Canis lupus familiaris: one gene and its partners. The protein of the gene in region 6 interacts with the protein of the main gene of each other region in a pairwise test. Links are inferred from orthologs where the notes say so. Each region holds a gene or a part of one and is shown on either strand. Other genes may lie near its edges. The genes, in order: RAB33A, NEBL, LENG1, HMG20A, PRPF31, CCDC136 and FAM107A.

Evidence for each region.
Region 1: the proteins of CCDC136 (region 6) and RAB33A interact in binary tests that used the Homo sapiens proteins (3 or more experiments, as listed by UniProt). The two-hybrid records come from large-scale screens. The link is inferred for Canis lupus familiaris from reciprocal best matches to the Homo sapiens genes CCDC136 and RAB33A.
Region 2: the proteins of CCDC136 (region 6) and NEBL interact in a two-hybrid assay, tested with the Homo sapiens proteins (2 studies listed by BioGRID and IntAct). The two-hybrid records come from large-scale screens. The link is inferred for Canis lupus familiaris from reciprocal best matches to the Homo sapiens genes CCDC136 and NEBL.
Region 3: the proteins of CCDC136 (region 6) and LENG1 interact in binary tests that used the Homo sapiens proteins (3 or more experiments, as listed by UniProt). The two-hybrid records come from large-scale screens. The link is inferred for Canis lupus familiaris from reciprocal best matches to the Homo sapiens genes CCDC136 and LENG1.
Region 4: the proteins of CCDC136 (region 6) and HMG20A interact in binary tests that used the Homo sapiens proteins (3 or more experiments, as listed by UniProt). The two-hybrid records come from large-scale screens. The link is inferred for Canis lupus familiaris from reciprocal best matches to the Homo sapiens genes CCDC136 and HMG20A.
Region 5: the proteins of CCDC136 (region 6) and PRPF31 interact in binary tests that used the Homo sapiens proteins (3 or more experiments, as listed by UniProt). The two-hybrid records come from large-scale screens. The link is inferred for Canis lupus familiaris from reciprocal best matches to the Homo sapiens genes CCDC136 and PRPF31.
Region 7: the proteins of CCDC136 (region 6) and FAM107A interact in binary tests that used the Homo sapiens proteins (3 or more experiments, as listed by UniProt). The two-hybrid records come from large-scale screens. The link is inferred for Canis lupus familiaris from reciprocal best matches to the Homo sapiens genes CCDC136 and FAM107A.

The regions. Positions count from the first base shown.
Region 1 is NC_049260.1:102,208,457-102,212,607, reverse strand, and holds the start of RAB33A (ras-related protein Rab-33A), read right to left. Parts: upstream 2,801-4,151; 5' UTR 2,596-2,800; intron 1,973-2,595; exon of another isoform or gene 1,971-1,972; 5' UTR 1,931-1,970; coding exon 1,673-1,930; intron 1-1,672.
Region 2 is NC_049223.1:9,996,046-9,999,545, reverse strand, and holds part of NEBL (nebulette), read right to left. Parts: intron 1,669-3,500; coding exon 1,558-1,668; intron 1-1,557. UniProt on the Homo sapiens protein: Binds to actin and plays an important role in the assembly of the Z-disk. May functionally link sarcomeric actin to the desmin intermediate filaments in the heart muscle sarcomeres.
Region 3 is NC_049222.1:103,811,649-103,815,763, reverse strand, and holds the start of LENG1 (leukocyte receptor cluster member 1), read right to left. Parts: upstream 2,801-4,115; 5' UTR 2,741-2,800; coding exon 2,609-2,740; intron 1,712-2,608; coding exon 1,532-1,711; intron 907-1,531; coding exon 644-906; intron 26-643; coding exon 1-25. Other genes in the region: TMC4 (transmembrane channel-like protein 4), read right to left, coding at 3,244-3,321, 3,426-3,504, 3,800-3,955, 4,065-4,115.
Region 4 is NC_049251.1:39,282,365-39,285,864, reverse strand, and holds part of HMG20A (high mobility group protein 20A), read left to right. Parts: intron 1-94; coding exon 95-170; intron 171-884; coding exon 885-1,100; intron 1,101-1,777; coding exon 1,778-1,914; 3' UTR 1,915-1,920; intron 1,921-3,500. UniProt on the Homo sapiens protein: Plays a role in neuronal differentiation as chromatin-associated protein. Acts as inhibitor of HMG20B. Overcomes the repressive effects of the neuronal silencer REST and induces the activation of neuronal-specific genes.
Region 5 is NC_049222.1:103,839,247-103,842,746, forward strand, and holds part of PRPF31 (U4/U6 small nuclear ribonucleoprotein Prp31), read right to left. Parts: intron 2,508-3,500; coding exon 2,338-2,507; intron 577-2,337; coding exon 419-576; intron 1-418. UniProt on the Homo sapiens protein: Involved in pre-mRNA splicing as component of the spliceosome. Required for the assembly of the U4/U5/U6 tri-snRNP complex, one of the building blocks of the spliceosome.
Region 6 is NC_049235.1:7,699,469-7,702,968, forward strand, and holds part of CCDC136 (coiled-coil domain-containing protein 136), read right to left. Parts: intron 3,426-3,500; coding exon 3,102-3,425; intron 920-3,101; coding exon 808-919; intron 243-807; coding exon 74-242; intron 1-73. UniProt on the Homo sapiens protein: May play a role in acrosome formation in spermatogenesis and in fertilization.
Region 7 is NC_049241.1:32,298,413-32,302,483, reverse strand, and holds the start of FAM107A (actin-associated protein FAM107A), read right to left. Parts: upstream 2,801-4,071; 5' UTR 2,464-2,800; coding exon 2,440-2,463; intron 1-2,439. UniProt on the Homo sapiens protein: Stress-inducible actin-binding protein that plays a role in synaptic and cognitive functions by modulating actin filamentous (F-actin) dynamics. Mediates polymerization of globular actin to F-actin. Also binds to, stabilizes and bundles F-actin.

The DNA of each region.
Region 1 (4,151 bases), on a different chromosome or scaffold from region 6:
CACTATTTTAAAAAGGTGCCCTATCTTACTGATGCTGGGGCTCAATTGTTCTCCAGAGCTCTCCCTTACCAGTACTGAGCTGCCCATCTTCCTGACATCCAGTGCCTCTGCCCAGTCTCTGAGGCCATTTTAAAATACATCCATTTAAGAAATAATGATAAAATAAAAACACAGTCATTTTAATAATCAAGGACTCCAGACTTGTGCACGGTTTAGAGTGCTTCATCATTCTCCCTACTACTACTCAGCCCTTCTCTCCACATCACTCAGAAGAGGGGCCTTAGGATCATTTGGGCTCTTTGACCAGCGGGAGGGAGGGTGACCTTCACCCAATAGGGTCACACCATAGCTTCAAGAGAAGACCAGCTGTGGGCCTGGTGGAGTTGGTCTTTAATGTTCAGTGCCTTTTGAGGTGCCTTCCTGCCCATCATCCTGCCCCCCTCTGCTCCCCTGACACATGAAGCCGCCCTTGCCATGTCCTCCTTCTGCACATAGGAATATTTCTGCACAATGAACTATTTCTGCCCTGTCGAGTTTCTGCCTTTTCTGAATCAAAATGAACATAAATGGTCAGACAAGAATATCGTACTTTGCCTATTTGATAAATAAACTAATGAAGGGGGGAGGAGCAAGACACTTTCCCTTGGCCTTCAGATAAGTTGCTCTGCATTTTTACAAAGACCTGCTGAAGACAATACCAACAGAATGAGCAATGAAGCAGTTCATTCATTAGGTATCCCAGAAAAAAGAAGATAGCGTTGGAAAGAGACTGCTCCAAAAGAACAAGTTTGTTATGAAGGACTGGCGGGTGACCCTGTCTCAATTGCTTTAAAAGGGCTCATGGCTTTGTGCCAGAACCACCCCACTTCACCCCTATTCCACCTCAGCCCTAATCTTAACCATAGGCTGTCATTTTTTTAAATATTTATTTATTTATTTATTTATTTATTTATTTGATAGACATATATAGAGAGACGCAGGAGGAGGGAGAAGCAGGCTGCACGCCAGGAGCCCAACGTGGGACTCGATCCTGGGACTCCAGGATCGGGCCCTGGGCCAAAGGCAGGTGCTAAACCTGCTGAGCTACCCAGGGATCCCCGGTAGGCTGTCATTTTAAAATAAAGTGGTTTTCATTCACTGTGAATTTCCACACACACACACACACACACACACACACACAGCTAATGCCTCAGGGCTAAGCCAAAGTGGGTTTTTGCAGCCCATTCACACCCAAGAGGTAAAAGAGACTCCAGGATGTGTAAAGTGCTTTGGGATCTATCCCACACACCAGGACCAAGAGATGCCTCATGCCTCCCTCTGCCCTCTGCCCACAGGTGCCACTGCTCCTGGCTCAGGGTCAAGGATGGGATCAGACAGGCTTTCCCTGTGGCAGATGTCAGGTAGGGGCAAAGGGCAGGAGTGTATCCACTCTCGCCAGCCCTAAAAAACAAAACAGAACAGAACCCCCCAAAAAACAACAAAACAAAACCCGGCGAGGTGGAAACCAGGCCACTGAGAAAGGTGAAAGGGAGGGAATGAGGAGGTGCTGAGGGTCTTGGGCTCTGTGAGCGGCGACAGGGCCACGCGCTGGAGGTTTAAACCAGGAGAGCAATGCCTCTGGCGAAGCCCCCTCCCAGACCCCTCCCTTCCCGGACCTGACCATCTGGATCACCTTGATCTTCTCGCCCTCGATTTCCACGGTCTTCTCCCTGAAGTCCACGCCAATGGTGGCCTCTGTCTTGTCCGGGAAGGTACCCCCGCAGAAGCGAAAGGTCAGGCAGGTCTTGCCCACGTTGGAATCCCCAATCACGATGATTTTGAAGATGCGAATCTGCACGTACTGGTCCAGCGACGAGTCGAGCTCCAGGGACGCCAGGCCCGCGGCTGAGGCGGGCTGCAGGCTCCCATGGCCCAGGATGGGCTGCGCCATCTCCCCCGGACCGGACCCGGGCCCCAACCCCCCTCGAGGGCTCCACACGGCCACGTTAGTGCGCTCGAGGCGAGCGAGCTTTGTGCGTGTGTGTGTGCGTGTCTGTGAGTGTATGTCCGCGCGTGTGTGCGTGCGCCCGCAACGTGTGCGCGCGCGCGTGAAGGGGGTGCCTCTCACCCCAGGCCCCCCTCCCTCGCCAGCGCACCCTCCTTACAGCTCCCAGGCACCAACACAAAAGCCAGGAAGCCGGGGAGAGAGGAGGGGAATGAGCCGGCCGCGAGCCTTCCCCTTCTGCCTGTGCCCTCGGACGGGACGCTCGGGCAGGCGCTCCTATGGCGCTCCCCGAGAGGCCGCCGCCGCCGCCGCCGCCGCGCCTCCACCTAGACCCTCCCCTGCCTGGACCCCAGGGACACACCGGAGGGAGGAAGCCGAAGGAGGGAAAGGAGGGGGTGAGAGCGGCACACGCCGCGAGGGAAAGGTCTTCCTTTCTCCTTGTCCCCATTTATTTTATAGGTTGCGGGCTCCCCGCCCCCACGTTCTCGGAGCGCACGGGGCCATTGGGCTGGGAGCACAGCTGGAGAGGACAAAGAGAGCTGCACCCTAAAGCATCTCTGGAGCACTTCGGGCCCGGAGCTACACTACTTGGGGGGGAGGGGCAGAGATACCTCTTTCACCTCCCGCGTCTCCTCGGCCCCTTCCCAGGCCTTGGGATAAAGAGATACTGTCTTATTGAGTAAGCAGGTGCACTCGCGCGCCCCAAGTAGCCGGGGGGGGGGGGCGCTGCCAAGACGTGCCGTGGGCTGTGGGGGCCCGCGCAGCTGACACGAAGGAGCCAGGGGCACGGGTTGTGCGTGTGTAGGGGGAGTTACTGTCTCTGTCACCGACTGCCAGATGTAGGGGGGCGCGTGCCAGGCGCCAACCTCCCCTTATCACACCACGAGCACCCATCCTCTGAATGTTCAGGAGAGCGGTTTCCATTGGCTGTCGCGGTCGGTTGTGTCTGGCTGGCCAATGGGGAAGGCCCGCCGCCGGAGAGGGCCATACAGGGGGTAGGAGAAGGGGGGAAGCTAGTGGTAGCAGCTCCAGCAAAAGGGAACCTTGTTTCCAAGGCTAACCATTACAGACCCAGGTGGAGGGATCTCAGGAACTGGCATAAACCTCACAGTGTCTCCCATATGATATAACGTCCGGATAAGAAGTCCTTCCAGAATGGTGGAGTTTCAAAAGGAATTGGAACACACACACACACACACACACACACACACACACACACACGGGAGGGTTCAACCCTCTGCAACTGAATGTAGAACAAAGTGGTTGGGTCTAATTTGCCAGAAGCCTGGATTATGCTTGGAAGATGATAAATGAACAGAACTTTCTTACGGTATTAAGGGGCAGCTTCCCAAAGCTTACTAAGCATCATACATCTTGGTGGAGACCTGCATTCCTTCTCCTGAGGGTGATTTGCAGGTTCATAATTGGCTTGTTTGAAATCAACTTTACTGAGGTACATTTTACATACAATAAAGTGCACCCATTTTGTTTGCTTTTACGACTTTATCCCTCCTCTAACGCATTTCATAGGCTAAGGCAAGGCAATATTGACATATGTCAGTAGCACGGACATACGAGTTATTTGCTAATGCCATCAAAGTCAGGTTTCCAGCAGTGCACATGCACTGCCATCTTACTTGTGTGTGAAGCTGAGTGGCAGAAGAGACAAACCTGGCAGTCCATTCCCCCTATGAGAAAAACAATTTAGTGCATCGGTGATAGATCTGTAAGCAAATTGGAACGTGATTCCTCAGCCAAGTCCAAGTTACTCAAAATGGCTGGGAAAACTTGGGGTCTTCTAGTTAATAAGCTTTTTAGCTGAGTTAGCAGATATATTTATAGCTAACTCTTTTCCAATACACGTGAGTCACCCATTTGTAAAACCCTAGACTATACTATTCAGTATTAAAACCATCTCGAGAACAGAATTAACTCGAGAAGGATTTAATCTTAGGTGGCTAATCCAAGGTCATCATGATGAATACCAGCTACTGTTGTACAGTATGAATAGCAATCTTCACTGTACAGTATTTTGGTTTTTTGATTGGCTGATGTCTAAATATAGTTTGCTGCATCATTCTCCTCTGTATTTACAATGCTCCTGGTGATCATTATCTACAGAAGAGTAGTTATAAAAGGGGAGGGGTAACTATTAATTAGGCATATC
Region 2 (3,500 bases), on a different chromosome or scaffold from region 6:
CTTAGAAGTCTGTTCTTAGGTGAAAGTCTGAAATACAAAACTTCTATTCTTTCCAAGAATCTGGTCCAATCTGCAAATTTCCATTCCATTTCCATGTCATTTGCATGTAAAGTGTAATAAAAGGTAAATGGTTTCCTATCCACATCCTTGTTATGAAACACTTAATTTTTCTCTAAGAATGAGGTAAAGCTATACAAAGTAACATGGAAAGGTTCCATAATATTAAGTGAGAAAACCAAGCACAGAACAAAATACATGGTATTTAAGGACTTTTTAAGTCTATGTGTGCATAAGTGTATGTTTATCTGTCTACACATAAAAATAGATCCAGCAGGATAAATTTGCAACAATGGCTATATTTCAGGAGGAGAATGGAAGGAGGGGTCCAGTGCCTATTCAGCATGCATCCCGCCCCCCCAAATCTGCCATTTCTAAGTAAAACCCCTATTGGTCAAGACTCCTATGCCATCCCCAGATTCTTGGTCCAAACCAATTATGACCATCCCATTACCCTGACCAGTCCCTAACCTGGGGCCGTAAGCGGATCCCAACACAGCAGTGACTCACTGGGCTCACTGGGCAGTTAATCAGCTATCTCTAGCTCTCCAGATTTCCTGGTGGTGGGGGGAGTCTATCCTGGGCCAGCTCTTCCTAAATGGAAGGGTCACATTATAGTTCTCAGAGGAATCCCACTAAAACTCTCCGCAGCCAGCCCTGAGGTAAGTGAGCAGTACTCCTTACCTGCATCTCAACATTCTCTTTTTAAATGTTTCTCAAAAAATCACCTCTTCCCAAATACTCTGTATTCCAATGACACTTCTATAATCTCGGAATTGCTGGAGGAGTTCAAGAGGTATGGAACTGGTTTTGGGGCATTTTCTTCAAAAAATGCACATATGGTCTGACTCCTACAACTTTGTTATCTGCTATCTATCATATCAGAGCATCTAAGCCAAAACTTCTAAATTAATATCCTGTCATTACATGCATTACACAAAGAGGAAAATATTAGATGAACGAACATGGTCATTCAGGATATATAGAATACTTCAATCCAAAATGCTAACCCTGTAGGAATTTCAGGCATGGTGATGAGGTCAACGGGGTATTTTGAGAACATGCAACCAAATTATACAGAAATGGTTATCACTGTCATGTCAGAGTCTCAACACAGAATTTTCAAGTTCTGTTCAGAAAGTTGGAAACACAAATACACCAAACAGCACATGACCTATCCTTAAAGAAAACATAGTATGAGAACATTTATTATAGTCTAGATGAATGTGAAATTTGTTGTATTTGTTGTATTGTAAAGGGCCTGTGTGTGTGTTCTAGTAAAATGCTTTCCCCCTCGTTTCTTAGATATTTAAAGAAAATGAGTAAAGCAGAAACCATATATTTTCAAACAAGCATGATGATCTGGAATGGTTTCCATTCCAAACTCTTAAACTATTCATAAAATTCTGGGGAATTCCATGTACTAATCAGGCTGTTAATATGATTTGCAAAGTTCCAAAATAAAGGTTTTAAGGCATCTGCACCATTTACTCTACTAACCTGACTAGCTATCTCTGAAGCTTTTCTGGCATGTTGTATTTCAAGGGTGTTGGTGCCAACCTGCATTCCTTTCCCTTTAATTTTTGACTCCAGGTCTTTCTTGTATTCTTTCTGTAAAAATAAATAAATAAATAAATAAATAAATAAATAAATAAAGCAACATTTTATAATATTTAGACACTCTGCAGACAGACATTCATCTGTAATCAAGGATACCAAAAAATGGCTGCACACATTTAAAAAAAAAAAGAAAGAAAGAAAACACGTTTTACATTGTACCATGAAATGATCACCTAGAACTAAGTTTCTGAACGGCTTAGAACTATATCACTATTCTCACTGAAGAAGGTTATATGAAGCTCTGAAGATTTCTTCTATACATGGTGAGGGAGGTGGGTTTAAATGAGTTGATGCTGTAGAAAGAATGCGGATTTTGAGGCCAGAGCACTCAAACTGGGAATGCTTAACATCTATGGTTTACTCATCTGCAAAATGGGGGTAATATTTCCTCCATGCACGAGCCCTCCAAGGATCAATGAGACTGCATATAACATAGTGCTCAGCACATAGTAGGTGTTCAATAACTGAAAACTTCTTTTGGTCTTTTACTCCTCTATTCATGTGCTAAGGCTGATTCACTGCTGTTCCTGCCGCTGTCATGCCATTCAACTGTTTCTGGATGGACTCTGCGCTTGAGAGTCTGAAGTGATATTTCCAAGTATTACTGACAAGTGATCACAAGATCGACCTCTTAATGTGAACTGCACATGTCACCATAACAGAAGAATCGGTCAGAATTACTAATTTAGGAATATGTGCTGATAATATTAACCAAAGACATGACAGTGGCTTTTAATGCTTTAATAAATTTAAAGAACACAGATACAGCCAAAGATGGCTATAATTTTTTAAAAAACATAATAATTTTGAATCCTTCTTTTAAAAAGATGTTTTATTATTTATTTGAGAGAGATAGCAAGAAAGAGCACAAGTAGGGGGTAGAGGGAAGGAGAAGCAGGAAGACTGAGTCGGGGCTCGAGCGCAGGACCCTGAGATCATGACCTGAGCTGAAAGCAAATGCTTAACCAACTGAGCTACCCAGGTGCCCCTTGAATCTTCTGTACTTACAGTGCAATTAAACTACCAAAGAAGTTAACTGAACAAATGAATGACCATGAGAACCATACTAGATCATCAGCACATTACACTCCTCTGGACCCAGACACAATGATTAGGGCAGGTGTAGATTAGGGCAGGATAGAAGTTGATCCAATGAGATTCATTCCTAGGACCTTAACTGTAACTATAAGAAACAGATGCTCACTTCCCATTGGGATTACTGGCACAGATGAGTTATCCCTCTGTTAGGAGGGGCCATAGCTTAGAGATAGCCTCCCAAGTTTGAAGCAATAGAGAAGATAACAGAACTGAGAGAGGAAGGAAGAGAGACATCATTCAAATTCCAACCTCAAAGAAAATAGACTTTGGACTTTCTCTATTCACAAGCCAAAACATTCCCTTTGTTGCATAACCCAGTGTAAGTTGGGTTCCTATCATTTGCAGCCTGACTAGTAGGGTTACCACCATCACCATTACAACAGTTTATAAGCCTGTGAGGACACAACTTTAAATTTCTCACCTCTCAATTCAGTCAGACTCTCCTCAAAGCTCAGTGCCATTACCTGATTCCAAAGTCATGACAGACGCCAAGGATGAAAGAACTAACAGCACTTCAGAGGCATTTCATTCCTTCCCACAAATTCCACGTAAAGTGAGCAACGGCCACTTCCATTTCATAAAGAGGTTTATGGGGCAGGGGGTCACTGAGCAGCCGAGGAAAGGGTTGGGGGACACTGCTGGGTCGTGAACAGGAGAGCACGTGAACCGCACCACAGTTACTGACGGATCATGACAACACGGTTCCCAATTCTCTGCCTTTCACT
Region 3 (4,115 bases), on a different chromosome or scaffold from region 6:
TCGAAGCTGGTCCAGGGATGGGGGTCTGGGGGGAGAACACTCAGGTCAGAAAGCTTATAGCCCCTAGAGGTCCCACTTTCCCCCAAGAAGGAGCTGCCCCACCTGGAACCCCGTCCACCTCTACCTGCTCTGGTCTGAGAGGTTTGTGGGTAGGAAGCTGGCCTCATGCTGTGCAAGGACCCAGGACTGCCATCACTGCCCCTGATGCCCCTCCAAATCATGAGCTATGATGATGAGCACAGCCAGGACCTCAGTTTCTCCTTCTGTAGGAGCTAGGAGACCTGCTCAGGTTTGTCCTCCTTGGGACACAAACCTGCTCTGACTGACCCCGTGGTTCTCAAACTAGACCCCAGAAAGCTTTGTGTCAGTGGGTTTCATCTATTGCTATTTTGCATAGAAGCGAGAAAACCTTGAAACAAGGTTACGTCCCCAGTCACCACAGTGTCTCTTCACGCCCTGTCTCTTTAGAAGCCACTGGACAATCAAGGCTGAGTGAAGGGTCACAGGGGCTCAGGAAAACCAGCTTGCCTCTGCAGACCCCCTGCTAGGGCGTTGGAGCCCCAAAGCCACACGTGGCGAGCCGCCTCCCCAGGCCCCCAGCCCCTCACCCTGACAGCACCAATGCAGCTGCCCACTTCCTTACACTTCAGGCCGCTGCTTCTCAGGCTTCTCCTTCCCCTTCCTGCCATGGCCACCATTGTCCCCACTGTGCCGTCTCTTCCTCCTCAAGTGCTTCTGTATCTCCTGTAGAGGGTCCAGGCGGTTCTTGATCTTTTCATCTGGACCTGGGCTGAGCTGGGGGGCCCCTTGCCGTGGGGGTAGCTGATACCAAGGCAGCTGAGTCTGGGCTTCTGCTGCACTCTGGCCCAGGTAGGTCAGGATGCCCAGAGCTTTCTCCTGCCTCTCCTGAGGGGGACAGAAAGAGGGAACTGAGGATGTCAGCGATGTCTCCACTCAGGGAGCCCTACCTGTGACAACAGAATCCCCCAGGCTCCTGGACAGGTAGAAGCAGCATGAGTCAACTCAGCCATTTTTCCAAGGACAGGTGGGCCTCCTGCACTGGGCAGAGTGTCAATTCAATAACAAAAAACACAAGGGGGAAGGACAGGGTGCAGCTGCTTTAGGGTTCAGAGGCAGCATCTTTGGGGAGATACTTTAAAGATGAACCTGAAAGCCCGCCAGCAAGGCAAAGGAGTGAGGCGAGACAAAGGCAAGTTCAGAGTTTGGTGGGAACCCCTGAAAGTGGGTAAGTGACAGGACCCAGGTTCTGATTTAGATGAAAAAGCTTCCTAATACACCTCCACAGGGTCTTGACATCAGCCCAAGGGGTCTGTACCTGACAGTGCCGTGCACCCACTTCCAAGCCCCTGCAGGGAGGGTGCCAATAACCCACACTGGGAGTGCTGTGTTCCAGTACTGAGTTCTCTGTGTCAGCTCATTTCATCCCCACCCTACCTCTCTGTTCCCATCAGTCACCCCAGACTTTACCCCTGACTGACAGGGACGGGTGTGGGGGGGGCGCGCAGCTTACTTTCTCCTGTCGCTTTTCTTCCTCATACTCTCTATTGCCTCTGGTCGCCCCTTTCCCTTCCTCCAGCAGCTCCCGAAATAGGTCCACAGGGCCAGAACTGGGGGCTCCCGCCTCTGCTGCTTGGAGCTCAGGTAGCGAGTGCTGGTGCCTGGCTTTCTTCCGTAGGAATTCTGTGCGGGCCTGGGGGAAAGAAAGTTACAGGCAGAGCATTCATTGCCTAGCCATGCCTCCAAGAACTGTGAGACCGGTGCCAAGCACAGAGAATCCCCGTGCTGGTGCTGAGGGCTCATCAGAGCATCACCCAGCCTGGGGGAGAGGATGGGAGAATGAGGTGACACCTGGGTTTGTACGCTGCCTTTGGTGAACCAGAAGGGTTTCCCAACCTCAGCTGGCACAATAAAAACAGCTAGGAAGGCAGCCCAAAATTTGCGAGCAGGCGACCAGAAATACAGTAAGGCTCCAGATCACTGTCCCTCGACCACGTGCAATCTGCTGACCAAAGTGAGCTTTAAAAGCCCAGACCACCTCCCGGCCAGCGGTGAGGGCCAGATTCGTTAACAAACTTCAAACTCCGTGCACACTAGAAGCTAGAAGTTACTCCGAGAACCCCCGGGGTTGGGGGCCGCGGGGAGAGGGCTGGCCCCACAGGGGGATGGGTACGTCCCACTTCTCTGCACAGCGGAGGGCAGTGCCCTCTGGGCACGAACAGAGCAGGTCCAGCGCTCTGCTCGGGGCGAGCATACAGCAGACGCTCCAGAGGGGTCGGGCAGGAACACTAAACGTGGGTCTGCGTTTCTTTGAACTGCACAGGATTCATTTTTTCAGCAGCCCCTACTCTAAGCCAGGCACACCCCGGCCTCACGCAAAACGAGTGGCGGAAACCAGGGCAAAGGGGAGGCCCAGGTGGGGAAGCCTCAGGTAGGGCCCGCGCAGGCGAGCCCCTGCGTTTCCAACCGCGCCCAGCTCCTCCAGCCTCACGGGAGGCACTGCGCGTGTGCGCCATCCCGCTTCCGGCCCCTCCCCCACGCGCCTGCGCGCTCGGCCCGGGAGTCGCGTCCGACCGCACTCGGGGCTTACCTCCTGCTGAGCGAGCAGCACCCTCCGCTCACGTTCTTTCTCCTCCTCTCGGGCCTGAGCCTCGTCACGCCGCACGCGGGCGACATTGTCCTTGTTCCGGACGTGCCAACTCTTCTTGGGCAAGATATTCATGGCGTCGTAGCCGTCCACCGACTGCAGGCCCACCTCTGAGCACTTTCTATTGGCGAGAGGATGCCGTTCCCTGTTGTTCCTGCCTCAGCTACGGATTGGCCCTGGGCTGGCTGCCACGCCCCTCCAAGTCCGTAGCGAGCGCTGATTGGCTGAGATGCCGAATTCGGGTTGGTGTAGCCTGGAGACCGCCTCTTCACCAGGTCCTGAGCCAATCACTTGTCCCCGCCCTGAAGCTACGGGACGCGGCCGCTGATTGGCTGGCCTTCTCGAGGCCGATAATCTGATTGGCCGGCTCAGGATGCAAGTTACAAACAAAGCGCTCTGCAGTCTCAGCGGCGTTTATTGGTACGAGAAAGGTTAACGCGAGAGTGAGGGGGTGTCAGGGCCCCGGAAATCTCCGCAGCCGGGGACTTAGGGTCTTCTCAAGTTCTCTTTTACAGATGAGGTGCGGGCTTCCATAGGGTCCGGGGGCAGGATGAAGTGGGCCATGGTCCCGAGCAGGGCTAGGGAGGTCGAAGAGCCCCGGTGGCCGAGCTCAGTGCCACAGCGCGCTGTGCCAGGAAGACCTTATTCTGCGCCTCCTGGGTAGAGGTAAAGGGTAAAGAGAAGTGCAGGTGAGGCCGACCGCTCCCCACCATTTCTTTCAACATCCAGGACCCCCTACCATGAACCCGCTTTGCCTCACCGTCTCTATCTGGCGTTTGAGCTCAGAGACCAGACGTCCATAGGAGTTAGCCAAGGCCAGGGTATATGCCATCAGGATGCTATAGGGACGGAAATGGAAGCCATACCCAGGGGGCTCTTAGCATATCTTCAGTGTAAAGGCTCCTTAGAAACCGGGGATCTGGACTCCCAGCCCCACCCCACCCCCGCCAGACCCCTCCTCCCTCAGACCCGGGAGTCCAGGCTCCTCCAACCTCAGACCCAAGAGTCCAGGCCCCCAGCCCCCTCCCTCCTCAGACCCAGGAGTCCTGGCCCCCAACCCCTCCTTTCTTAGAAACAGGCAGTAGGGGCCCCCAGGGAACACAAACTCAGACCCAGGATTCTGGGCTCCCTCACCTGGAGATTAAGAGAAGAGGCACAGCAAAAGCCTGGGTCCCCAGGAAAAAGAGAAAGTTCTGGACGGTCTGAGGGAGGTTGGAAATAGACTCAGGGATCTGGGCCCAGATAGACGACTGCCCTTGGAATGGACCACACAGCTTAGAAGGTGGGATCCTGAAGAAGTCAGAGACAGTGTTCAAGGATGGCCAAGATTCAGAATCCTGGATGAGGGTGGAAGGAAGGAGGGAAGGAGAAGGGAGAGGCAGGCCCCTGCCACACTTACAGGAAGATGCTGTAAAGCACGGGAACAGCGGAGATGGCCAGAGCCAGGAGA
Region 4 (3,500 bases), on a different chromosome or scaffold from region 6:
CCTGATACTAATGTAACATTGTTTGTCTACTCTACCTCAATAAGAGAGTAAAGGGGGAAAAAGAATTAACTGTTTTGTTACTCTTGATTCTCAGAAAGAAACAGAGGTAAAGGAACGGTCTGTTTTTGACATTCCTATATTTACAGAGGAATTCCTGAACCACAGCAAAGGTAATTGCCAAAGTGTCATTTTGTGTTTCTCAGGTTTGGGGGGGGTGGGGGGGTGAGATTTCATTCTCAGAGGGATTCATTGCTCAAAATTGGTGGTAGTGATATTCTTGACCCTAGGACTGTTCTGAAAGGAGAAAACTGTTTCTATTTCACTTTGTAGTAAAGGTAGCTACTCAAAAACTAGGGAAGGAAAGCAAGCCAGGCCAGTTTTGTCAAAGCTACTTTAATCTCTGGATCAAAGGGAGTAAATGTGCATCACTAATTCAGTTGCTTTCAGACTCTTAGCCTGAAACCCTTTGTACAAATGAAAGCTTACATGGGCATCCAGAATACAAAATAAGGAAGAGCAAAGCTGACCCCACTGCAGTAAAGATAGAGACCCGCAGCTGTGCTCGCTCCGTCTCCCAGGGTCCGCCTGTGAAGCCCCTCAGGCTTCTCCCCGCGCGGTTTTAAAAACAAAATAAACAAATACCAAGAATTGCAACTGTTCCTTGCAATCTTAAGTAGGAATATGACCAGCTTTAAGAATTAAAATAGCTCTGGGGAACCAGGCATTTTATTGCTGAAATTGCTATCTGGAAGGCTGTAATGAGAATAGGGAGATGCGGTGGGGTAGCTAATTAGACAGCTAAGCAGAACTTCCTTGCACGCGCCTTTGGGACTCTCGGAGACTCCCGGCGCTACATGTATCGTGTGCGGGGGGGGTGTCCCCAGCTCGGGAGGCCGAGCTCCGCCAGCTCCGGAAATCCAACATGGAGTTTGAGGAGAGGAATGCAGCCCTGCAAAAGCACGTGGAGAGCATGCGCACAGCCGTGGAGAAGCTGGAGGTGGACGTGATCCAGGAGCGGAGCCGCAACACCGTCTTGCAACAGCACCTGGAGACCTTGCGGCAGGTGTTGACCAGCAGCTTTGCCAGCATGCCCTTGCCTGGTAATGTCACCCTCACATGAGTGAGCATTCGGTGCTGGGGAAAGGAGCAGGTGCTGTCTTGTGTCGCTCGGGATTAGTGGGGTGAGGCTGAAGTCTCCCCACCAAGAGGAAAATCAATAAAATAAGGGTTTTCTTTCCTCAGAGGTTTCTGTGGGTCTTCGAATAGTATCTCGGTATTGGTTACAATCATCCAAATTTTCAGGCTCTCTGATCATTTAAATTTTTCTCTAATTATATTTTAATATAATTTACTTATCTTTCTCTTAAGTTAATTTGATATTCAGAATGGTAGAAACTGAGTAATAAATCCTGAGTAGAGCATTTTTCTTATATATGTTTGATAGCTTTATAATTTTGTTTTAAAAGGAAGGAAGAGGAAAACAGACACTGGTATTTTTTATATCCTCTCTCATGTTAAGGATAATCACAGCATCTCTAACTTTTTGTTATATGCAGCTACTCATATATACTGTAGAACAGTTATATAGCCCATCTTTTTATTCAGGATATGTGGATTAATTTCATTTCTTTGAGGTCTAAAAGTCTCTCTTCTGAAATGAAAATCTTATCTGTGGAACAGACCACATTAGAGTGGTTTACTCTGGAGTCACTTAAGTGTGCTTTGGTCGAACTGAAGAGGGAGGATTTTCTTACTTTCTCTCCTTATCTCACTTCAGGAAGTGGAGAGACACCTACGGTGGACACCATTGACTCATATATGAACAGACTGCACAGTATTATTTTAGCTAATCCCCAAGACAATGAAAATTTCATAGCTACAGTTCGAGAAGTTGTGAACAGGCTTGATCGTTAGGGAATGGTGAGTGTTCACTGATGCAATATGTATGTGCCAACACATCATCAAAAATTAGAAGACAGTAGACTTTCTCAATGCTACTAAAACCCTGGCATTACATCAAGTAAATGAGTTGGAGGCTTGATTAAAATTACTTTTACATGGTTACTAAATGTAGTAAATAATGTTAGAAAAGACTTCTTTCTAATGCATGCCTCAGCATGGTTTAATGGAAAGAGCATGATTTTTTTGTGGTTGAACCTCCATTCCAGCATTGTTAGCTATTAGCTGTATTCTCCAGGGTTAGTTTCCCAAAGGGTTTTCAAGAGTGAATGAGGGAGCAGTGGGGTGGCTCAGTGGTTGAGCGCCTGCCTTTGGCTCAGGTCGTGATCCTGGGGTCCTGGGATCGAGTCCCATATCAGGCTCTCTGCAGGGAGCTTGCTTCTCCCTCTGCCTGTGTCTCTACTTCTCTCTGTGTCTCCCATGAATAAATAAAATCTTAAAAAAAAAAAAAAATGGAAGAGTGGATGAGAAGTTTAGGGAAATCACCCCCAAAACAGCACTTAGAACAAAATAAATATCACTTAATTGTTAAGCTTCCTTTTCCCTGGAAAATACTAATGATAACTTACAACAGCAGTCACTGAGACATTGTATGTATCTAAACCTACGGAAGTAAGAAGCTTTTCATTCAGCACTCAATATCAGAGCAACTATTGTATGTTAAATGTTAATGTGGACTATCCTTACAGTGAAACAGCTATTGCCCTATTTAAAGAGATTAAGACTTTTAAAAAGGGGGTGGTGGGGGCACCTGGCTGGGTCAGTCAGAAGAACATACAGCTCTTGATCTTAGGGTTGTGAGTTCCAGCCCCACGTTGGTTTACTTAAATAAAATAAAAAATAAAAAGACTTTAAACCGATTTTAAAAATAAACTCTCAGTAAGCAAAAAAGAGAGGAGCGAGAAAATAAGCCTTCTAAAATAAATTCAACAAATGACTAGTAGTACATGTCATATCCTCATAGAATAGGAAGAAAGTACATTTCCAGAAAGTCTCTGCCCATAGAAATTTTTTTTTTAATTTTTTTTTTAATTTTTTTTTATTTATTTATTTATGATAGTCACAGAGAGAGAAAGAGAGAGAGGCAGAGACATAGGCAGAGGGAGAAGCAGGCTCCATGCACCGGGAGCCCGATGTGGGATTCGATCCCGGGTCTCCAGGATCGCGCCCTGGGCCAAAGGCAGGCGCCATACCGCTGCGCCACCCGGGGATCCCAGAAATTTTTTAATACTAATAGTCATCAAGTGTCATTTCTTAAATAGAATTCGTATGTGTTCACTTAAATTCCTAGAGCTAGGGTGCCCTGTAATGTGCCATATCCCACCAAATTGGCAACCCTTCGTCTTTAGGTCAATGCCAGCACACTGTGGAAATCCTAGCACCGTATGGTGAGGGTGGAAAAACAAAAGTAGACAACAGGATATGCTCCTTACAGTGGCTAGTCGTGGGTTTGAATATTTATTTGTCCTGCAGGTACACGAGCACACTCATAAACATACTCATATTCTAGCATGTAAAGCAAAATGTATGAGAATAAATAA
Region 5 (3,500 bases), on a different chromosome or scaffold from region 6:
TCAACTTGGAGTCTGTACACCCCTCTAGTGGGCTACTGAACCCAAGGATGGCTTGGAGACCCCTACAACTTGCAAGCTAATGACATCGCTTGTTATGTGCAAGACCTGGAAGTGTTTCATATAGGAGTCCTAATCACAACCCCAGGAAGCAGGTTCTATTTCCCCCATTTTACAACACTGAGGCACAGCTCATGCCTCTTGCCCAGTTGTTAAGTAGAGCTCCAGAATCCCTACCCCTGTACATCTGCTCTGGGGTCCTTGTTCCTATGCCCCGTGTGACCCTATCCTCTGAGCTCCTAGTCAATGGGAACTGAGGAGCAGAGGGGGCAACTTGCTTGGGCTCACACTGCCCTCTGGACAAGGCTGCTTCTGGCCCAGCAAAAGGCTCTGCGGGGAGCCACATGCCAGTGGCACTCACCGGGGGCAGAGACTGCACAATGTCACTGTGGTAGATGTAACCAGTGTGGGGCAGCACAGACGTGGACGAGAAGCCGGACAGCGTCTTCCGCTGGGCCCCAAGCAGCATGATGTTGCAGGCGGGCATCTTGGAGAGGTTGGTCAGGCCCCCAGCCACCCCTGCAACAGGAAGGAGGGAAACAGGTCAGAAGGAACACAGGACATTTGTTTGGGGGCTCACCGAATGCTTTGTGCCTTTAGGTGAGTTTCTGGTTGAATTTCTGGGTGGGCTCTGCCTGGGAGGGCCTGATAAGTCCCCTTTCAGAAGGAGGATTCAGAGGAGGCTCAGAGAGGTGAAATCACCTGCCTGAGGATGGAAAGTGAGGCAGCAGCCCAACAGGAACTTGCCCCCAAGTCTGCAGAGCTACACAGCCCCTGCTCTGTTTTATAACAGTTACCACCATACTGGGGACACCCTGATGACAGGGCCTAATGTGAATCATCTCTGGGTTCCCGTGAGCGCATCTGCAGGCCCAGGGGAGGGGAGGAAGAGCTGTAGGTAAAAATGCCTACCTCTGACAGGGGTCTGCTTGTGCCAGGCCCTGCACTGGGCGTTTTTAAGGACTAGGTCAACTGTTTGATCAAACACACGCTTCCCACACAAGCATGGCAATCCATGTGTGAGCAGAAGAACGCCCCCCCCCACACACACACACACAGACATCACAATCCCTACAACCTATGACCCTATGCAGATATAATTATGTGAAGGACCTTGAGACAGGGTAGTGGAAGGGAAAGGCAGAGTCACAGGCATGTGAAACAGGAGACTTTCAGGTGGGAGGATGCAGGAAGCTTCTAAAAGCCAGAAAAAGCCAGAAGTGGATCCCTTCCCGGAAACTCTATACAGGAACTAATACCTTAATTTTAGCCCCGCAGTCATAGGACAGGAGCAAAGCCCCACACCACCAGGGAAACCAAGGTATGAGATGTCACCTGCCCAAAGATGCGAGGTCAGCGAAGGGGGAAGGAGGATCCACACCTGATAAGTTTATCTTGCTCTGAAACCACTGCCTCCTTCTGCCCTGCAGCTATGCACACACCTGCCACCCAAGGCTGCGCTACGAGCTAAGCTGTGTCTCCCTGAATTCCTGTGTTGAAGCCCTACACCCCAGTACCACAGAATGGGACTGTGTTTGGAGACGGGCCTTGAAAGCAGTGATTAAAAGAATGACATCATTGGATGGGTCCTGATCCAGTGTGACCAGCATCCTCGTAAGAAGAGATGAGGACACAAACAGGCAGAGGGGAGGCCATGTGAGTAGATGACCACCTACAAGCCGAGGAGAGAGGCCTCTGCAGGGCACAGCCTGCTGACATGCTGCTCCTGGCCTCCCTGCCTCCAGGGCTGTGTGACAATGAACCCCCGGTAAGGCCCCCACTGCCTGCCCCGACCGGCGACACTTTGTTAGGGCAGCCTGAGCAACCTAGCACAGCTGTTTTACCAAACTCCCCCAAAGAATCCCTCAGCTGAGGGGGCTAGGAGCCCAAGAGGGCATGCTGGCAGATGAGGCACCACCCTCAGCCCTAACACATCGTCCCGACTGGCACCCCACCTCATGCATGAAACCGAGATCCTAAGAGCTGACACAGCCAGTGCCAGGCAGCCCTAGGGTCTCTGCAGAGCTGAGGAGGGCCAGCCTCTCCAGCAGCCATGCTATCTCCTCCTGCGCCTGCCTAGTCCAGCCTGGCTCAGGGCTGCCATCCTTTCTCCGTGTGTGCAGGAATAGCAGGCTGGGTGACTTCTGTGATCTCTAGGAGGGATGACAGGATGAGGGTGAGGGGGAGTAGGGTCCTGTCCCGTAGAGGAGGGACGTGGCTTCCTCAAGGTCACACTGTCCGAGGATGGCCCCATATCTCTACCGCACCCCAGGGCCTCACCCATGATCTTAGCGGCTGTGGATGCCCCAATGATGATGGAGAGGTTGGGCGCGATGAAGGACATCCGAGACTCCACATATTCGTAGATGCGGTGCTTAGAGGCGTTCAACTCTAGTGCCATGTCACAGGCCTCCTCCAGCCGCTCTAGCTCCTCCTCTGACAGCTGTTGCCTGCAGTGGTTAATGATGTGACTGGGTTGGACCCCTGCCCCTCCTGGGGATCCCACTTGACCAGCATGAGAGCCCGTGTCCTCCTAGCGGTGTGTGCACGTCTGTACACATATGTGCACGTCAGGGCAATTCCAAGTCCCGTCAGCCCTAAGGCCTGGAAGCAGGAGCTGCCAGGAACCTAGGGCACCACCCTTGCCGGCCAGGGCCTGCCTGCCCATGCCAGTCTCTGCCAGGTGCAAGCCGGTGTCAGAGCCTTTGCCTGTGGGCCTCCACTACTCTTCCTCATCCTCTAGGTCTCTGCCTCGCCAGCCAGAGGCCCACTGTTACCAGCTGCCAAACTGTGCCTGTTTACAGCCTCCCCACTTTCCGTCCACTTCTGACGGGAGACAGTCAGCCCCTGAAGAGGGACCCCACACCTGATCCTCAGCAGCATGGCCAGCCCATCTCTGGTACATGGAAGATGCTGACCAAGTACTTGTGGAAGAAAACCACAAAGGGGGGCTGTTATCACTGTCGTTTTACAGAGGGGGGGCCCGAGGGTGAGATGGCAAAGGGGACTGGCCAACCCGCAGAGCTGGTAACCACACCCAGCCACACCCTTCCCTCAGTTACCCCACCCACGCTGTAAAGAGCACTAAGGGGGACCATGGAGGCTGCCACAGGCCCTGCAACCAAAGTCCAGTGGGTTCATGCTCATAGCTGCCCCCATCAGGGACAAGCTAGAGCCCACTTGTTCTCCCACTAGAGCCTGGTCCCTGCCTGAGATGGAGTCGTCACCTCCTCCAGGAAGCCACCCAGCCCAGCAGGATAAGTATCCCTTGGCACCCCATCTGCACTCTGACACTTGCCCTCCAGCTTGACCTGTGTGTGCACCTGCACCTGTTTCCTCCTAGACAGGAGCTCGGGCAGAGCAGCCTCCCGCCTCCCCTTTGCAAACTTCTCTAATCTTTGCCCTCAGAACAGTTCCCCGTGCTTGGCTGGCATTTATTCAAC
Region 6 (3,500 bases):
TCTAAGGAGATGTTGCTACTGTAGGCCAGGAGAGGGTAAAAGAGAGACAGTGACGGTGCCTGCCTTCCCCTACCTTGTTCTGCATGTCATGCATCTGCTCTTCAGCTCCCAGAAGCTGTTGTCGCAACAAGTGAGTTTCAGGATCCGGTTCTAGAAAATCCATTTCTGAAGTCTGAGACTCTGCTGACATCATATTCTTTAGCGTTTGGGATTCCAGCCACTTTTCTGTTGCTCTTCGTGTCCTATAATCCAGAACCCCAGAACCATGTTTGGGAAAGTGCTCTGCCTGGCATCACCTGGTAAGGGTGCTTGGTCCTGATGTCTTTATTTTAGGCAAAGATGGTAAAGAGCCTTATATTGTGATTTGTCTTCCAAATAAACATGTCAAGAAGGTGAAGAAAAAGTCCCAGTACCTCAATCAAGGCATGCTTGGCTCTGGGAGACCTAACAATGCTAGTCTAGTTGGGCTCAAGGCTGGGCCTTGTATCCAGCCAGCTCTAATCTGGAGGGAGGTACTACACCATTTGACTGAATTCAGCCTGTGTGGACAAGAAAGGAATCACTGTGATCAACTCTAGGGCAGAGCAAACCAGACCCCAATCCCTAGAATGGAAGTAAACTAAATTTTAGAACTCCAGTCCTGAGACACTTGGCTCTCCATGTTTGCTTCTAAGTGGCATCTGTGGAAAAGACTGGCTGGGTAGAAGTAGAGGGACATTTATTAGCCTAGCATCTGCCTTCACTGGTTCTATTCAGAGAAAAGCCAAAAGCAGAGTCCTAAGAGTCCTCCTAGCCTGCTGGTTATACCTCTCACTCTCCAGATCCGCAAGCTGCCCCGTGAGGCTGCTGTTGCTCTCCTGCAGGGCCTGGTACTCCTCGTTCAGGAAGCGGTAGCGTTCTCGCAGTTGCTGCAATTCTTCTGCAGAGGACAAATGGAGACGTGTGAGATCCTGGGGAAGAAGCACTGGTAATCAGCCCCTAATTTTCCTGCTTAGAAATCAGATAGCAGAAAGCTGAATAGCTTCTCTTTTTCTAAAGACTGAAGAGACACCGCATGCAGTGGCTTAGAAGACAAAACCCCCCAAATTCCACACTGCTATGTGTCTTTATCCTCTTTCACATAGCTGCCTTTCTTCTCATCTGCCCAGATCTGCCCTGTGTACCCATCTTCAGAACCCCAACAGAGGAAGAGTCTTGAGATTTTAGGAGCTCGTGAAGGTTTTAATTGAGTTTCTGGGTTATTATATTTCAAGTTTCCATTGATGATTACCTTCCTATTACTCTTTTAGTACAAAAGCTGAGGGATGTGAAACTGCCGCGTCACACTGCCAGTCCTGGCCTTCTGGAGACAACCTGGGCATCCTGAACGTCCTTTTACTTACTTTATCACCACACCAAATACACTGGCCTGCATGTGGTCAAGAATTCATTCTGAAGATCTTTTATCAGCTGACAGAAGAGCCCATCCCCACCAGACCCACATATCACCTTCAATCATCAGCAGAGATCTGGTTGCAATGACCCAGCACATGTCCCTAAGTACCAGCTACTAATACTTTCTGGAGCTACAATCAAACAAACACCTCTATCTATTTTGTTTCTTCCTGATTAAGAATTATTTATCTTAGAATACCAATTCTACTGATATTTAAAGAATACTGACTTGCTCCAATTAGAACACAAGGTCTATCGTACCTGCTGGAAGAGTCAACACCCTGAAATTCACATCTAATGTTCCTTCTTTATTCCAACCAAAAGTTTTTGGAGTACTGCAGATTACCATGGAAGGAAGGAAGGAAACTAACTTTTAATATAAGCCAACCATGTGCTAAGCATTAGCACTTGATGGTTTCAGCCTTCCAGTTAGCTAGTCTGTGAGGACTTCAACATACTAGGCATTTCATTTAATCCCGAAAATAGTCCTGTAAGGTTTTCTTTCCCTTTTTTTTTAAATAAACTTTTAATTTTACAATAGCTTTAGAGTCACAGAAAAGTTGCAAAGATAGTGTAAAACTCCCTGGGAGAGCTCTCATCTCATTTCCCCTATTGTTAACTTCTTACCATGGGTACATTTGTCACAACTAAGGAATCAATATTCATACATTACTGTTAACTAAACTCAACATTTTATTCAGATTCCTCTCCATTTTCCCTAAGGTCCCTTCCTATTTCAGGATCCCCTCTGACTGTAAAGTTTTATTAACCAATTTTTACAGACACAGAAACTAAGAGAGAGACAATAACCAGGCCAAGTTCACCCCACTAATTAGCAGAACTGTGGTTCTGCACTCAGGTCTGTTTAACTTTGACCCAAGCTTTCCCACTGTGCTGGCCTCACTCTCCTGGCACCACCAGCCCAAATGCTCTTCTGAGAAACTTGTTACAGCTGGGAAAAAATCACAGTTCTTTGATTCCTTGTTGACTGCCTCTGCTTGACCTGGCCTAATACAGGGCCTCCCATTATACCCAAATCATAAATCTAGCCTCAGAATAAAGGCAAACTCTGATGTCATGAATCCTAGCAACTAGCTGGGAGACTCATTGTCTGAAAGCAGAGCTCTAAGCTTTTTAGTACTTCATGTATTACTGGAAATAACCTCTCTTCCTCTCCAGCTGTCTTGTGCTCTGATTTGTTGCCCCCTAAAGCTTCTACGTTGGAGAGGGCTCAAGGAGCCTAAGCATTAGCATCCTGGGACCTGGGAGCAGGACTGGAGCCCCCCCCACCCCCCGCCCATAACGCGCAGTCCAGGCAAACTGCCATGATGCCAGAGCTGCAGGAAGTTTCTCAAGGTGATCAACCCCTTATCCTGGAGACTTTCTCAGGAAGCGCTTTCCCATAGTTAAATCAACAAACGTCCAATGGCTCTCTGAGGAAGAATTCTCAGAATACACCTCCACAGTGTCATTTCTCATACCACCACTGACTGGTTATGTGACATCTAGATAAATTCTTCTCCCTTATGGTCTTGAATTAAACGTGGAGGTTTTTTCTAGAGGTTCCCAATTCATGATCTAAGACCACCTTCCACCATTTTCTTGGATACTAACTCCCTCTGCTCGGCTTTACTGGCAGGCCAGGAAGGGGGTTTGCCCTCTCATACCTTGCATCTCGGAGAAATCTGAAAGACTTAAACTATTGGATGGGTCAGAGCTCTTCATCTCCATTTCTGCACGGAGGGAGGTGATCTCCATTTCATACTCTCCCCGAATGCGCTCCATGTCATCGAGTTCATTCTGCATCCGGCAGAGATCCTCCTGCAGGGATGCTATGTCACTCTCATGTTCAGTCGCGGAATCCTCTGCTGCTTGCCGCAGATTATGGATCTCAGCCCGGGCCAAGTGCAACTCCTGTTCTATTTCCTTAAGTTCACTTTCTTTCTCACGCTCTAACAGGGAAATCTCCTCTCGTAGAGACCGCAACTCACCTGCAAAGCCCAGAGGTTGGGATGGTCAAGAGGATAAATGGACTTATCATGTTCTAGAAGCAGAAAGTTAAAGGC
Region 7 (4,071 bases), on a different chromosome or scaffold from region 6:
CTCGGTCTTCCCAGCTGTACAATGGGGAAGGGATTGGACCACTTTGCCAGGGGTTTTCCAGAACTGATTTTATAGCTATGGTTAAGCCATGAGTGTGGGAAGGGGGTCCGAGAAGCCCCCCAGGACAGCTCCGTGACCTTTATAGCACAGGCCAGTGGGTGCTAGACCTCAAACGGCCCAGGCGTGTCACAGACATCCTGCAGAGGCCAGCTGGGTTACTGCCTCCAGAAACAGAGCAGGAGGCATGTGTGGGGGAGGGCTGGGGGGTGGTCCACAGACGGGGGAGCCCCACAGCAGGCCTGGCCTGGGCCGGCTCATAGCCTCTGCTCCAGGCTGGCTCAGCCACTGGCTGGCTGTGGGAAGTCACATTGGCTCATGACTCAGCTTCTTCATCTGCCATGGGTGTGATGTTAATGCCCCTGGTGGATCAAAGGGAGGGTGTGAAGAGCTGACAAGGACGCAGGTAGGAGAGGATCAAACCCAGAGGGAGACGAACGTTGACTAAGGATCTACTTCATCCCCAGGCATGGTGTCATTTAGATTTTACAACAGTGTGAGAAGGATTATTATCTTTAGTCTATGGGGTTGGAACCTGAGGTCCTGTCTTGTCCACGGTCCCCGGGTATTTGGAAGAACTGACTCAGGTGTGTCTGACCTCAGAGCCCGTGTTCCCATTCACCCTCTGCGGCCTCTCCCTGGGGGGCAGCCTCTCCCTGGGGGCAGGAGGAGGGCCTGGGCCCAGCACATGCCTGCTTTTCAGTCTGGGGGCTAGTTCTGATCGGGATGCTGTGCTGAGGAAGATTCTGAGGTCATCTGGACTTCGTGGGAAAGGGTGTAGGGACCGATTCGTGAAGTTTGTCACCGGTGAGAGGAGAGAGAGAGGCAGTCTGTGAGCTGTAATTGCTGTTCCTAGGCTAGACCTTGTCGGGGTCTTTTCCAGGCCTGGGAAGAAGCCGTTCTCCAAGGTGACTGCACCTGCACAGGTAGGATCTAGAGGCTGAGCTCATTCTCCCTTGGGAGAGGGGAGAAGCTGGAAGAATGTTCCTGAAGGGGGCTGGGTGGGGCCAGGGTGCAAAGCTCTGCTGGGAAGGCAGCTCTGGGCTGTATCAGAGAAGACACAAGAACAGCAGGTGACCCACAACAGCAACTGGGGGCTCCCATGAGCATGGCGGGATGGAGAAGGGACAGCCCCAGGACAACAACCTTCTAGGATACTGCTGCTGGGGGTGCTGAGGGGAGGCAGGAGTTTCCAGGCCTGACTTGCACCCGAAACAAAGGAGGTTGGGAGCAGAGGCTGGTGCAAGGCGGCCCCAGGGGTTATCTAACCCAATGCTCATTTTCCAGATGAGGAAACTGAGGCCCAGAAAGCTTGTTCCATGGGGACTGCCAATGATGTGTTTTACTTTAAATTTGAAAAATGTGGGTTGGGCTCGGTTGGCAGAAAATTTAGAGTCATGCAGAACCATAGTTGTTTGAGGGTTAGAGCCCCCGTTTATTAGGGTTGTCTGGGTGACAGGCTGCATGCTACATACTTTATAGCATCCTCTCGTGGCCCCTCCCAAGGGGTGAGGACCAGCCCTACTTTACAGGTGAGGAGCTGAGATCCAGAGATCCAGGGGGGTTCAGTTCCTTATAAGGCAGGTGGAGGAGCTAGGGCCCAGGCAGCCTGACCTTACCGCTGGGGTCACAGTCCTGGTGATGTGGACTGAGTGCGTGTATAAGAATCCCTGGGGAGCCCTGCCTCCCCTTCCCCTGATCCAGGAAGTGTGGGTGAGCCCTAAGAAGGAGACTGTGGAGCAAGCCCCCTCCCATGCCCCATCTCTAATGCAGACACAGGGTCTCTATAGACCACATTTTCAGAAACACTGCATAGGCTCTGTCTACAAATCTCCAACTGAGAGCCCAGACATAGAAGGTGATGCATAAAAATGTGAAGAGAACTCTAATAACAGAACATAGCTTATATATAGCTCACTATGTGCCAGGCACTGTTTGAAACACTTTACATATATTTTTGTTCAGTTAATTCTCACTATAAGCCTCTGAGGTAGTGACTATTGTCCCCATTTTACAGATGGGGAAATGACTTACAGGAAGCGTCAGTAACTTGCCCACCGGTGCTCCCTGGCACACGGGGAAGGTGCGGCCACGGAGCCTGTATGCAGGGAAGTAGAGAGGTGTGTGTCTAAGACCAGAGAGCCTGTGAGGTTGGGCAGTCCAGGTCTGTTCCAGGGGTGGAGAGATCCGAAGGCTTTGTCCTAAGCCCCAGCTAGGTTTCTAGATGCAAATCTTGGCTGTGAGCTCAGGGAGGGAGGCTGGTGGGCAGTGCCTGGCTCAGGCCCATGGAGCTGGCAGGTAGGTAGATGGGGGCTCCCACCCGGTAGGTGCAGTCTCCCTCCCCATGTTCAGGGACCCAGCAGGACCCTCGGGGGCTCTTACCTTCTTCCCATGGACTGCTCCCATGGCACAAAGCGGGCACCAGGCCTGGGTGGGCCTTGGGGGGCCCGGCTGGGGTCCTCCCTGCCGATGCTGATCTCAGGAGCTGGGGCCCAAGGGGTTCCCTGGGCCAGGGTCCCCCGTCCTCTCGTGGCTCATTCTTCTCAGGCACAAAGGAGGCTTTCACAGCTGCTCCTAAGCCCAGAGCTCCTCAGACAGGCTTAGGGTGATTGATCCTGTCAGAGGGGTATGGTGTCCCCAGAGGGCCCACACGTCCTGTGGTCCCTGTAGCTCCTCACTTCCTGCACCCCTGCCTCTCTCAGGAGGGGAGACTGAGGCATCCGTGGGGAGGTGAGAAGCAAAGCCGTCCTCTCACCATGCGGCCGGCAGCTTGAGTACAGCGGGTGACCTCTGGCTGGCCCAGCAGGCAGGACTTGGCCTTCTTGCCAGGCTGGGCACCGATCAGCAGACAGGCCCCAGACAGTGGAGGCTGTGTGGACTAGCTGGGGTATGGGGCTCAGGGCAGGCTTGGCTTGTGTGGGGATGTAAACCTCGGGCTGGGCAGCAGCCCCATTAATAGTAGATCTTTGAAGACACTTGGGGGCAAGGGCTCTCGTGGAGCGGAGACACTGAGAGCAGAGTACTTCATTCAACAGGACAGTAGCCCAGCTGGGGAGGGCTGGTCTGGGCTTAGGCCAGGAGACTATCTGGAGGCTGGATTCCGGGCCCTGGGCCAAGTTCTCAAAGTTCCCCCAGCAGTTACCCTCCTCCTTACTTGCTACCCTCCTTCATTATTATCAACAGCATGGAGCGAGGAGGTTAAGGCCCGAACCAGCCTGGGCTTGAAACCCAACTCTTTCCTCACTGTTGTATGACCCAGGGGGTGGGGGTGGGGGTGGGGGGCATGATTTGACCTCTGGGAGCCTCCGTTTCTTCGTGTGTGTGCTCCTATAATCACACAGCACAGGGTTGCTCTGATGGCTGAAAGAAGTCGGTGTGCACAGCCAGAGCCATTGTTCTCTTAAAGCATAAATCAGATGATGTTATTCTCTGTTTTACACTCTCCCCCTTGACGGAAGAGGGGTAACGATGGCCCCTGACCCCATGGGGCCCTGAGGATGAAATGAGGTGACTTGTGTAAAGCTCTGGGCAGAGGATTTGGAGAATAGGAATTTTCCAGAGAAGTTAGGTGCTGCTTGTTATAATGCTGTTAATGCCACTCGTGATAAAACCACTGCCCATTGGCAAGTCCCAGGTAACCAGTTTGATTAAGCAGAACAGCCTTTCTTAAGAGATGGCTGGGCCAGGGAAAACTTGCAGCCCTGTCTTTCCTCTGTCTAGCACAATGCCTGGCTCCGGGGTGGTGAGGACTTATTGTACAAAGGATTATGAAATGGCAGTTGGTAGTGAAGGGTCAGGATCAAGTATTCTAGATCCACCTTTGCCCATAGAATCAAATTCCCCATGGTCCAACACAGTTCTGTTCCATGAAGTCTTGCTGGCCTCTCAGACCTCATTTCCCATTCCCCTCTCTGCCTGACAATTCCTGGATCATACCACCCTCCTCCTCACCCCAGCACCTTTGCACATGCTGTTCTCTCTGCTGGGAAGGTTTTCCATCTCTCTCCCTTGACT